Linked DNA regions of Drosophila melanogaster. The protein of the gene in region 1 purifies or fractionates together with the protein of each later gene. This does not show direct contact. Each region holds a gene or a part of one and is shown on either strand. Other genes may lie near its edges.

Region 1 (7,024 bases):
GACGCGGAGAAGGCGCAAGCGCTCTAGAGCCAGCTCCTCGAATTCGTCTATGTGCACGTCCTCCGTCGGCGGATAGTGGTACAGCATGACGTTGTGCGGGTACTTGGTTTCCAGGCTGGCCACCTCCACCTTCACCTCATGTCTCGCGCGTTTCTTCAGACCAAACTCCATTGTGAGTCGCGGGAATTGCTATAGTAATTTACAATTTGTGGAATGCCCGTTTGTTGTTTTGGCGCGCAAACTACTGATGGCAAATATCAGCTGTGTCAGTTGTTATCGATAGTTTTCTGCTCATTATCGATGCTTGCGGTTTATTCAATTTGTATTTCAAAATTAAACGTTTTTAATTGTTATTATCAGTCAATTGGTACTGATGTATTGATTGTGTGTTGCATTGTTAGATATTTCTTAGGCCTTAGCTTTGTTTACATAGTGTCCAGTAGTAGTAGGTTATGTTTAATATACGACGCTATTGCCTTTGTTAAGATATTTCAAAAACATCACATAAGCTCTTAAAAACCTAAATACCTTTATTTATTAATATATGTTTAAACTATACTTATGTTCAGCAGCAAATTTTGCATATTACTATGATTACTGTGGGGAAACTTTCGTCTTCATGAAAGTGTAATTAAGTAGTTTATATACTATATCAGGTACGTGCACAACTGACTAGAACTCTCCGGATAAAATTACATGTTTTCTAAACACTGATCTCTCTGGAGTTGATCCCTATGACCTCCAGGGATCTCTTCAGACGTTTCCAAAACAGCTTTCGATCCTCCTTGGCCGTCGGCCACTTTATATACGTTTTCACATCCATGAGATATTGCAAAGTCTTGGGTCGCTTTCGCCGTGGAATGTCCTCCAGAAAAACCAGGATCAAGTGCTCCTTGCTGACCTCAAAGATGCTACAATATACACACATATATTGATTTTAATATTTGAATTTTACAGATAAAGATTCCTTACCGATGCTGTGCCAAATACATTTCAAATTGACACCAATGACTCAACAGGAACTTGGAGGATATGATCAGCATAAGGGAATACGAGCGATCCATGCAGGAGATGATGTTATCTAGGATGGTCACTCCAATCTGCATGTGAATTAAGGGTTAAGGTTTCACTTTATTAGTAAGTTAATGTTGTAAGATAAGTACGCTTCACCTGAAAATCTCTTTCATGCAGACAAATGGACACATCCCCAGTTTCCTCCACGTTCGGCAGCAGTTCATTGAGCACCCAGGTCCGATCATTCTGGCAGTAGCTGATGAAGATATCGTAGACGGCACTGGGATCTCTCTGGGATATGTTTGTGAATTTATTCACCGACTCCTTGGACGCACTGGACAACAAGGCAGCGGACTTCAGGGAAGAGTAATAGTAGTGGATGTGCCAGCGCTTCAGATAAATTATAAATCCCAGGATGCAAGCGCCAACTAAGCTGCCCATGACTGCGATCACTGTGTTCGTAACGTGGTGCAACTCCTCGGCGAGGTCACTCATCGACCTGATCTGGCAGTTGAGCTCATCCACCTGGAGCTGATCGGTGTTGTTGAAGCAGTAATACTGACTGGCCTCGTAGTCGAGCAGCTGAAATTTTAGGGTAAGATCTCCGTCAAGGTCCCCTAAGTGGTATGGCTGGGCCGCGGAGCACTTGGCTACCATGTAGTCCTCGGAGGAGAAGCGCAGCTTGATTATATGATTCGCGCGATTGAACTCCCTGATGTTGGAGTAACTTCTCTGCAGCCAGGGAATATAGCGACTCTGCCATAGCTTGCGATCTATAATTAGTGACTCCGCCAGAGATATTACCTCCTCACCTACGGCATTCTGACTATAGTTCAGCAGTCTATAGGAGCAGTCTGCATCTTTATTATTGGCGGCCGCCACCTCCACCACCGCTCTCAAATGGCAGTCGCAAATAAAGTCGTTGTCCCCGAGACTAAGGTAATCCAATCGCTCAAAGTCCTTCAACATCTCGTTGGACAGCATGTTGATGGTGTTGCTTCTCAGGTTCAAAACCCTTAGGGCGGAGTTGTTGTGGAAGGCACTGCGGTACCAATTGCCCACATGGTTCGAGCTCAAGTCGAGGATCTCCAGGGACTCCAGAGACTGAAACATGGCGGGAGTGAGAGCGTTGATGTTGTTACCCGCGAGGCCCAACACCTGAAGGTTCTTCAACGACTTGGACCACTCTAAATCCTTAATATTCGATCGCTCGAAGTACAAATACTTCAGAGTGTTAGCGATGCCATCGAAGGCGTCGTCGATGATGTTGTAGGATAGGTAGGGGTTTCCGGACAAGTCGAGGCCCTCCAGAACCGTATTCTTGAAGATGGTACTGCTCACCATGGGAATGGCAGTGTAGCACAGACTGAGGAACTTCAGCTTATCCCCCAGATGGGCAAAAGCCACCGCACTATTCCTGGTCATTTTCGAGTGGGAGAGGTCCAGGTAAATCAGTTCCGGCAGATATTTGAACACGTTCTGCTGGATCTTCAGGCCGTATATCAGGCTTAAGGCCATTTCCAGAGTGGGCAACTGCAGTTGGTAGCTATAGGTCAGGAAGTTAGTGAAGGACAGGTCGAGATACTGCACTCCCTGGACGTAGTAGAAAGTGTCGTGGCTTATCGTCATGATCTTGTTGTCCGACATGAAGAGCCTCCGCAGATTGCTGACATTCCGGAACGCCTCCTTGCTCACGTACTCGATGCTGCAGTTGCTGATGTCCAGCTCCACAAGTCGGGGCATCTTTGGAAAAGTGGCCCAGGCTATAGATTGGGCTGGGAAACAGATAAGGAATTCACGTGTTAGAAGTATTTATGGCATGATATTTAAAAATTAAACCCTTCCTCCTTAAGTTACATAGTTAGAACCTTTTAACAGATATGAAACCAGGAATATGGAAATGACGGATATCAAGTTGTGATTAAATGTGGCATGAGGACTTTTAGGAAAACGTCTTTGCTGTGTAATTGTGTTTGCGTTGAGATCTTACATGAACTTCCGTGCTGATCGAACCGATCTTTTAAGACCTTAATAAAGTTCGTATAGTTTCTACCGGTTGTGATTGATTGTCCCATGTTTGTGTTGTTGTTAAAGTATAGATAGCATTCCCGATCATACAGATCGGTGGTATTGTGTAAAAGTAGTAGTTCACAATGGTGTGGTACCGAGTTACTAGCCTCCAAGCGGGACTCGTTTACAAATCGAGCAAAGTCTGAAACGGCGAATGGTAACTGGACATCAGAATACGTGTGCCATTGCGTTTCCGGTTCCCACAACTGACTAAATGGTCAATGATCTAACCCGGCCAAGCTTACCTTCAGCATCTGGAATCAGTTCAGCAAAGTTATTTCCTCGCAGCGATAAAAGCTTCAAGGATTCCCTCATGGAGTAGAGCGTCCTGAACGGAGCTGCAGTCAACGTATTGAATGCGGCCGAGAAGACTTCTGTCCTCCAAATGGTAACCTTCCTCGAAAGTTTCGCTTCTCGGAATAGGTCAGAGTCGTCCTTAAGATTACCGTGGGATAGATCCAAATACAATTTGTGCGCTTTAAATAAGTAATTAAAGGTACGATCAGAACCTATAAATTATAAGTGAATCTACCATATTCAAAAGTGACAGTATCGGATACTATGGGGATAAAGGCTAAGTTCAAAAAGTGCCGGGTGTAAACATTCGAAGAGATACAATTTATTATCGCTAAGATCCATATAGTTGCGAGTGGCTTTGCCAAATCCAGCCCAAGCTACTACACTCAGAGAAAAGACTGTTCTCAACGATCTTGATATGAGATTTTTGATCTTAAAATCTAGCAAGGATCAAATCATGCTCATATCGAGATCGAACCGTTCTCAGATTGCAAATGACTGGTCTCATTTGCCTCTCTCTCTCTCTCTCTCTCTTCCACAATTTTAAACCCGATACTGCTTCCGCCAAAAAATATCAACATTGAGATCGTTTTCGTCTCGAAATCAAGAAGGTTTCTTCTAATGAGCATGATTGATGCCACTGAGTACGCTGAACACAACCGATATCGGTATTTTTTTAAATTTCTCTGGGTGTAGTAATGCAGAGCTTTCACTGATAAGGGGTTCCATAATAATGTTACCGATTCTGGTGGGATTAGGCTAACATCAAAGACCTTCTATAAGCAGTCGATCCGCGTTGCCGGAAGCGTGAAAGTATATGTATATAGTTTCGAGAGCTGTTAACAATGCCCAATCAAACTGAGACTTGGGCAGGGATTTTTATTGGACTTTATTGGATAGGTTTACCGTATTTCTTTGTGCTGTCCCTGAGGGTTCCGTTGGGAAACTGCCACCATATCACCTCGTCCTTGATCAGATCCAGCAGACAACTGTTCCCATCATCCGATTCGTACTTCAACATGAGGGATTTGAGGTCCGTTCTCTCCTTGCTGACCTCTTCGGCCTCTTCGCTGGATGTTGTGGCTGAATCTGGTTCTATTATCAAGCCATCCTGGATCGAAAACTCGGTGTATGCTTCCCTTACGTTTCCAAGGAACAGGCATACTAATACGATCACATCCCATATATATTTTGGACACATATTCACTGAATTGCGCACCTATAGTGCTTGTAATGGGGGATTATAAATAAGATTTGACAGCTGTTTGATTTCACAATCACACAGATAATCGCGTTCTATACAATTTTTAGCCACTCATTCAGTTTCACTGGGTATTCCGAAATCTAAGCCACATTTTGTGATAGTTAACCGCGGCCGACATTTCCCGCAAATCACTTTATTTGCGGCTGGGCGAAGCACACGCCTTGGATTCGCGCAATGGACTGGCTGGAGGACTCAGCTTGCTCCGATGGTCAGCAGAAATAATAGGTAGCTGCGGTACACATGTGCGGCTAATTCTGCCATGATACGGCTTATCAATTTTGGCAATATCTTCCCTTGAATGGCCCGGGACTATCAGCGTATCGCTTTTTCGGTGGCACTGGGCGTCCCGCTTCACGCCCACGCCATGTTCCTTATCGGATAATTATCTGGACGTCGGAGTACGGCTATTAGGCCCGTACTTCAATGGGATCGGTGCTCCGGATCAACCGATATAGCCACGGCTCGCTTTTGGCCAGCACATAGTGAGTTCAGTGAGACACAATTTTCTATACTACTCGATTGTTTGCAGATAGAAAAGTTTTGATTTACGGCGTCCAGTCCGGAGACCGATATGAAAAAAATCACTTGGAAAATCTTAGATTATCAGACCATCGGCGATACGAAAAGGTGGCCACTAAAACACCCGGGTCCACAAATGCCCAATTAATTATATCAATTCCCTTCATATCATGCATACACAGTTTATTGGCCGTAAAATAATTTATTGGGAGATAGGACTTCAGCGGTAGTCTCCTATGACAAATGATCATCGGATACCCATTGAGGAAGCAACATTTTACTAATCTTCCGCTGATTAACACAATCCTTATGATAGCACACCAATTTTGCTTTAAGTTCCACCAAATCTTCAATGCGACTTTGTGCAGAGTCAGCATATCGCAGACGGAGCTCTATTTTTATAAGGATTTTCCATGATTATTATTTATAACTTAATATCACGCTGAAATCAACTGGTTAGCAGTCCAATCGTTAAATGCGAACACTTATAAAAAGAAAAGAAATTGGTTATTGTATTATGGTAACTATACTTGTCTTAACCCACGGTGGGTTTTGAGTTTCCCCAGCTTGAAAGAGAACCAGATCACAAAGGGAGTGGATCGTTTCCCGCTGGAATTTGAGTGGAGTGGTATTGAGCTGGTCGGAGCCAGAGCTCAATTAGAAACTGGTTTTGAGTGCTGAGATCGGATCTCGGCTTTCAGTCGACATTCAGAGCTGAGCTGAGGCGGTATCAACCGGCGGCAGATAGTTGAGTGTGTACCTGGAATAGTAGGCCACTAATAACTATCCGCCCAGTTAACTATCCCCGGTAAACTATGCGCAAATCGCCGGCCAGCCTGCCGTCGGAGGCCTTCTCCAGTTCGAACTCCTCGCTGAGCAACTCGTACAGCGATGGCAGCGACCTGGCCAACTGGGAGGAGTACGTGTCCACAGACGGCAGTCTCTTCTACATGGAGTATGTGCGATGTGAGAAGACTGGCGTCTCGGCAGAGCGGCGGGTGGAGTTCATGCGTCGATCGCTGCGCCTGGGAAAGAAGTCGTCGCGTCGCCAGCCGCACAGCAATAATCAGAATCAGAGTCAGAACCAAAACCAGTCCCACGGCCCGAGCAGGTTGGATAGCCAGACGGAGCCGCAAGAGTTCCGCTTCTCACAGTTCAAGACGGCTGCCCCCGATCCCAAGAAACTGGATCTGGTGATCACAGCCGCTGATCGCTTCCGTTTCGGACGACGATCCACGGCGGTGGAGTCCATACTGGGCTTCCGGGTCCTGCCCTTTCCGGACCAACCAGAATGCCTGATGGTCGATGGGTTCGTTCACGATGTGAGTGCGCTGCAGCACGGCATCAAGCGGGGAGATTGGTTTAGATCCCTGAATGGCATAGAGGTGTACGCCAGCAATGTGGATGAGTTGCTCAAGCAGTTCGTGGAGCCCACTCAGGTGTGCCTAGGCTTCCAGTCGTGCGGTGCGGCCAGTGCAGTTTCGCCCACCGATCCGGGGTATAATCGAAATGTCCGCGAGGAGCAGGTGTGCAAGGTGGAGAACTTTCCCATGTTCACGGAGAAGTTTGAGCAGATGTTGATAACGGAGGGGAACTTCGGTATTCCCGGTAGTTCCGTGGACATAAGAATGCCCTTTGCTATGCTGCTACTCCCACCGGAGTGCTATCAGCATGAACAGCAACAGGATTCCCTCTACTACTTTCCGGAAATCCCCGACAACTTCCTATTCAAGGCCCGTGGGAGTTTCCTCACCCTGCACGCCGTACTCAGTGAACTGCACACCCAGCCGCTGAGTTCAAGGCTGCTGGTGGATCAGGTGCAATACCACGTCAACTACCGCCAACTGAATGGGTTCCTAG
Region 2 (4,653 bases), on another chromosome or scaffold:
GTTTAATCAACATGATTTTTTCTTTCCTCTATTTCCATGCAGCGTCGAAGAGTTAATGTCCTCGCTGAACATTGACTAGGAGTGAGTGAAGGTGGAAGGGATAGAGAGCCAACCTACTTGGATGCACTATTTATTGACTCTGCTCGGTTTGGAGGAAGGCCATGCCAAAATATTTTGCTTCTCAACGTGTTAACCTAAACAGCAAGTAATTAAAGAGAAACCATCGAAATCAAAACATGTTTAGATATTTATCCTACACAGAGACCCACTCACAAATGATCTAATTTGTATTAATTTAGTTGTTCCTTATATTTTTTTCTCTTGTTACATTTTTATTATTTAATCGCTTAATATTTACTATTTTATCACCGAGTTGTGGCACAAAATATTGATAGGTGATCAATATGCCATTCATTCATTCCCCAATTTAAGTGTGCGTTTAAATTGTAAATGTATTTTGAAATTATTAAAAAAAAAACCAACTTAAATGCAAAAAGGGCCGTTGTGTGTTTAATTAGGTGTCAATGTATCTGGTGTTAGCACGAAGCATTTACATTTGCTGAGTTATAATTTCAAACTGATTTTATTGTGAATAAGCCCTTGGAATTATCTACAGACCAACTTGTCGCAATCTAGTGAACCATGCGTGGGAGTTCTATGAATAGCGCTCATCTTTAAAATATGCTGCAACCGCTCACAGGAGTTTCAATTGAGTGTTTCAAAGTGTACGCATAATTTGGTGTCACAAATTACAATTGTTATTTTTAAATCTACATTGTGAGTCAAACAATTATTATCTTTTATACAATGTCATTTTCATGTGTGAACACATTTCCCAATTTAAGTGTGCGTTTAAAAAGTGAATTTATTTTGAAACTTATTAAAAACCAATTTAAATGCAAAAAGGGCAGTTGTGTGTTTAATTAAGTGTAAATGTAAATGTCTCTGGGATAAAATTTTACTGCGCACTGCTATTTATACATTTTTGTCAACCAACATGGTCTAATCCTGTTTGGCCTTGGCCATCTCGCGAGTTCTGCAAACCAAAAATTTAGTACAATAGTAAGCTAATAATAATAATATGCATGACTATAGCTTACATCGCTCTCAGTTCTTCCAATGTTGGCACTGGAACACGTGAAGATTCGGTTTCATCCTCCTTGGACGCCAGTTCCGGATGTTTTTTCCATTTGTGGGAGCGACAGTTGGTGTTGCTGGCGAACGCCTTTCCGCAGTACTTGCATACGTAGGGTCTGAGGCCGGTGTGTCCAAGGAGATGGATCTTCAAGGCCGTGGAGTTCTTACAGCCGCTGCCACAAACCTCGCACTTGAAGCGCCGCTCATCCGTGTGCACATACTTGTGCTTGTTAAGAATCGCCCGTGTCTGCAGCTTTTTGCCGCAGACATTGCACTCAAACTTGGGCTCACCATGTGTCTGACTGTGCACCTGGAAATTGTATACAAATTTCAAGATTTAGTTGGTCCACAAGATTATTCGATGACTTACTCTCAGCCTAGCTTTGTTCTTAAAACCAGCATTGCAGACGGGGCATATACAGGGCTTCTCTTCCGTGTGAACCAGCTGGTGCTCCACCAGCGATGTGAAGGTCTTCAAACCCTTTCCGCAGTGATCGCAAACGTATTTCTTCGGACCGCCGTGCATGTCGTGCTTGTGCCTGCGCAGAGCCATGAAGGACATAAAGGTTTCGTTGCAGATTTTGCAGGGATAATCGACGAAATTCGAACTCTGGGAGCCATGGGGTGACATGCTCAATTCGGATGTCTTGTCATCTTGTTTGGATTTAGCATTGTCGTCTGGTTCGCGGGAAGTTACGTTATCGCTGTCGTCCACGTTTTTCTGTTTGCCTGAGCCCTTGGGTCTGCCTCTTTTTCGCTTCAAAGGCGGCGGGGATACGGCCTCGTCTTCGTCTAGAATGGCCTCCTCATCATCCGACTCGGTTGCAGTGTACACTTTGGAATTTCGCTTAGCCGCAAACTGCTGTCGGCGACTTCGTTTTGTTTCAACTTCAGGAATTGATGCAGTAGGTGAGGCTAGCACTTTGGGATCGGAATTACACTGTTTGAGATTAGCTCGTGTTCGCACGGTCTGTGCTTCAAAATCGGGTGACGGAGATGTGGAATGGTCTGATATCGTTAGCTCCTCTACCAAGGAACACCTATCCTCCGTATCGTCTATGTCCAGGAACTCGAGGTCCTGCTTGCAGGCCGGCGGAAGGCCGTATTCCAGACGCAGGGCGTCCAAGTCCTGGCTATCCTGCGGCTCCGAGTGTCGCAGAAGCTCAAAAATGGCTTGTACTTTGGAAACGCTATCCGAGAAGGTGATCAGCTGGCCAATCACCGAGTAGCACTCCTCGCACAACATGCTGCCCAGTTCCGGTTCCTCGAGGGTCATCTGCGTGTGTGGAAAACTAATGTATAAGCTATCTGTAGGCTGGGAAAACGAATAACATACCTCCACATCAAAGCATTTGCTGATAATCCTAACCAGATCGTCGTCCCGCTCGCGCACTTTGTATACAACGTCGTCGCGGGCGCACAGGCGACACCAGTATATCCAATCGCTTGTGGGAACTCCCATGGCTAATCCTCAACAGAAGCCCCACAGTTTGGTACAGTATGCCCTCGGGTTTTGACTAAATTCTATTGCCAAAGCGCTGATTAAAATCAGCTGTATGGAGCGGAATTCCGAATCGATTAATTGGTATGCGCACTCCGATGATTTTTGGAAATATCGATAAGTGCAAAACAACAAGTTGTTGCCGCCATTTTCAAAAAGTATTCAGTTTAAATTTGGAATTGAAAATTGTATTTATTTTACTTTTTTTTCTCAATCATAAGAAGTATTACTAACGTTTTCCTTCCTGCGTGTCGATGTTTATTAACATAGAGATGTATTATCATCATCATTTGGATGTGGTTTCCCAGGGATATAATGTTGTTTTTAAAACATGCGACCGAGTTTTTACTCTGGTATATATATATAAACAATATAATAATTTATTTTCGACTTACATATAAGAAAAACTGTGTATAACAAAAACTAATTTTAGCACATTTGCTTAATATAACAAAATGGAATGATAAACTACATCTCAACGTCTTCCATATCGTTCGCCCCACTCTCCACCCAATTCTCGATGGTGTAATAGGCTTTTAGAGCCAATTCGTCGTCCAGCGTCGGCTCGCCAAGCACCAAAGGGCCCAATTGCTTGTCGACCATAACGTCTTGCCAGAATTCGCTGCGATTCTTGGCCAGCGCGATCTTCTTCAGCTCCTCAGCGAACTTGTCGTATTCCAAAAAGGTGTTGAAGTCTATACAGCTCTGTCGGTACAGGGTGATGAGCTCGCCCAGTTGCCCGATGTTCTGTTTCCTGCGCTGCAGCAGTGTGATGATCACCACGCGGGTATCGGCAGCCAGCGCCTGAAAGCGGGCATCTCGCTCAGTGGCATTACTGATTGTGTGAACGCTAGCCAGGACTCGCCTGAAATCAGAGATTGGATCAATTAAGCCCACACCGTCTGATGGCAACGGGATTTCCTTCTCCGCTGGTTCCGACTTGACTGCCACACCATTCTCTGCCTGCTCCTTGGCCAACAGCTTTTCCTGCCAGGCGCGACTATAGCGCAATGGAAATAGCTTCTTTACGATGGCTGCCGCTCTCTTTGACTTCTCCTCCAAGGGATCTGGCACTCGCCAGAATACATCTGCGAAGTTTTTGTCCTTAAGCATTTTGTCTTCCTTGTCGTTATCATAGATAACTTTTCGCTCTAGGATGTCCATGACATTCTGCTCAAAGATGCTGGGAAGTGCGTCGAACGGCAGCAGATCATTCTGCGCCCACGGACGTGGCTGCTGCGTGTCCCGCAGTGTGCACTCCAGATCGGTGCTATCGATTAACTGATCAATGGCATTCAGCTGTTCCTCGCTGCACTCCGTCTTGGTGGTTCGCAGTGCCGGAAAGTCCCAGAAGTGGTGCTGAGACGTATAGGAAACTTCCAGCATATACAAAGTAGCCGGATGGGTATCGTCTGCTAAGCGGGGCAGTAGCACAACCATTTGCGGTCTATTAAACTTGGTGCTATATATTTTCCAGCACAGTATGGCCCGATCCGAAGAAACGAGAGCACGCACCAGAGCGTCCAGCTTCACGGCGGCAGATTGATTGTGCTTCTGATGCACCAGGAGGTACAAGGACTCGCCACAAAAGTACTCATCCGGCACGGCATTTCTTTTGATAAAGCCAAAGAAGTGGAGACCAGGTGGGTGTGGTTCCTTTGGCTCTAGCACGGCCTCGTCGTATGGCACCGGAGTGCCGCCCAGCATGTAACCGGTTATCAGATTCTCCGGCAGCGGGGTGATCTCAGTGCCTTTGATATAATGACGAGTCTCCCGTATCACTATCTCATCCTTTTCCGCCCAGACCTTTACCAGCTTTACGGGCGTCTGGTTCTTCATGGCGATTATGCCCTGCAGGCTAATGGAGATCTTGCTGCCGATGTTCAGCTTTGCGTTCCACACCCAGGGTCGCCGGTTGGTCACCTTGAAGACGGTATGCAGTGCCTCCTTGAAGCTGCACAACGTCGCATTGCAGCGAGGAACGAGACTGAGGGCGTACTTCTGGTTATTCAGCT

What was found. The genes of interacting proteins can lie anywhere in the genome.
Region 2: the proteins of Toll-9 (region 1) and wek purify together in Drosophila melanogaster (affinity purification with western blotting, with the first as the bait; one study listed by BioGRID). This does not show direct contact.

Annotation. Positions count from the first base shown.
Region 1 is NT_037436.4:20,361,337-20,368,360, forward strand, and holds Toll-9 (Toll-9), read right to left. Parts: upstream 5,389-7,024; 5' UTR 4,804-5,388; intron 4,588-4,803; 5' UTR 4,583-4,587; coding exon 4,288-4,582; intron 3,561-4,287; coding exon 3,330-3,560; intron 3,227-3,329; coding exon 3,005-3,226; intron 2,790-3,004; coding exon 1,171-2,789; intron 1,101-1,170; coding exon 973-1,100; intron 912-972; coding exon 704-911; 3' UTR 507-703; downstream 1-506. Other genes in the region: Prim2 (DNA primase subunit 2), read right to left, coding at 1-171; in (inturned), read left to right, coding at 5,980-7,024.
Region 2 is NT_033779.5:15,765,633-15,770,285, forward strand, and holds wek (weckle), read right to left. Parts: upstream 2,718-4,653; 5' UTR 2,600-2,717; coding exon 2,474-2,599; intron 2,414-2,473; coding exon 1,508-2,413; intron 1,448-1,507; coding exon 1,101-1,447; intron 1,037-1,100; coding exon 1,003-1,036; 3' UTR 501-1,002; downstream 1-500. Other genes in the region: CG3793 (uncharacterized protein), read left to right, coding at 43-79; Ku80, read right to left, coding at 3,107-4,653. UniProt on the Drosophila melanogaster protein: Acts as an adapter to assemble/stabilize a Toll/wek/Myd88/tube complex; required for efficient recruitment of Myd88 to Toll. Dispensable for innate immune response; plays a minimal role, if any, in the immune defense against Gram-positive bacteria and fungi.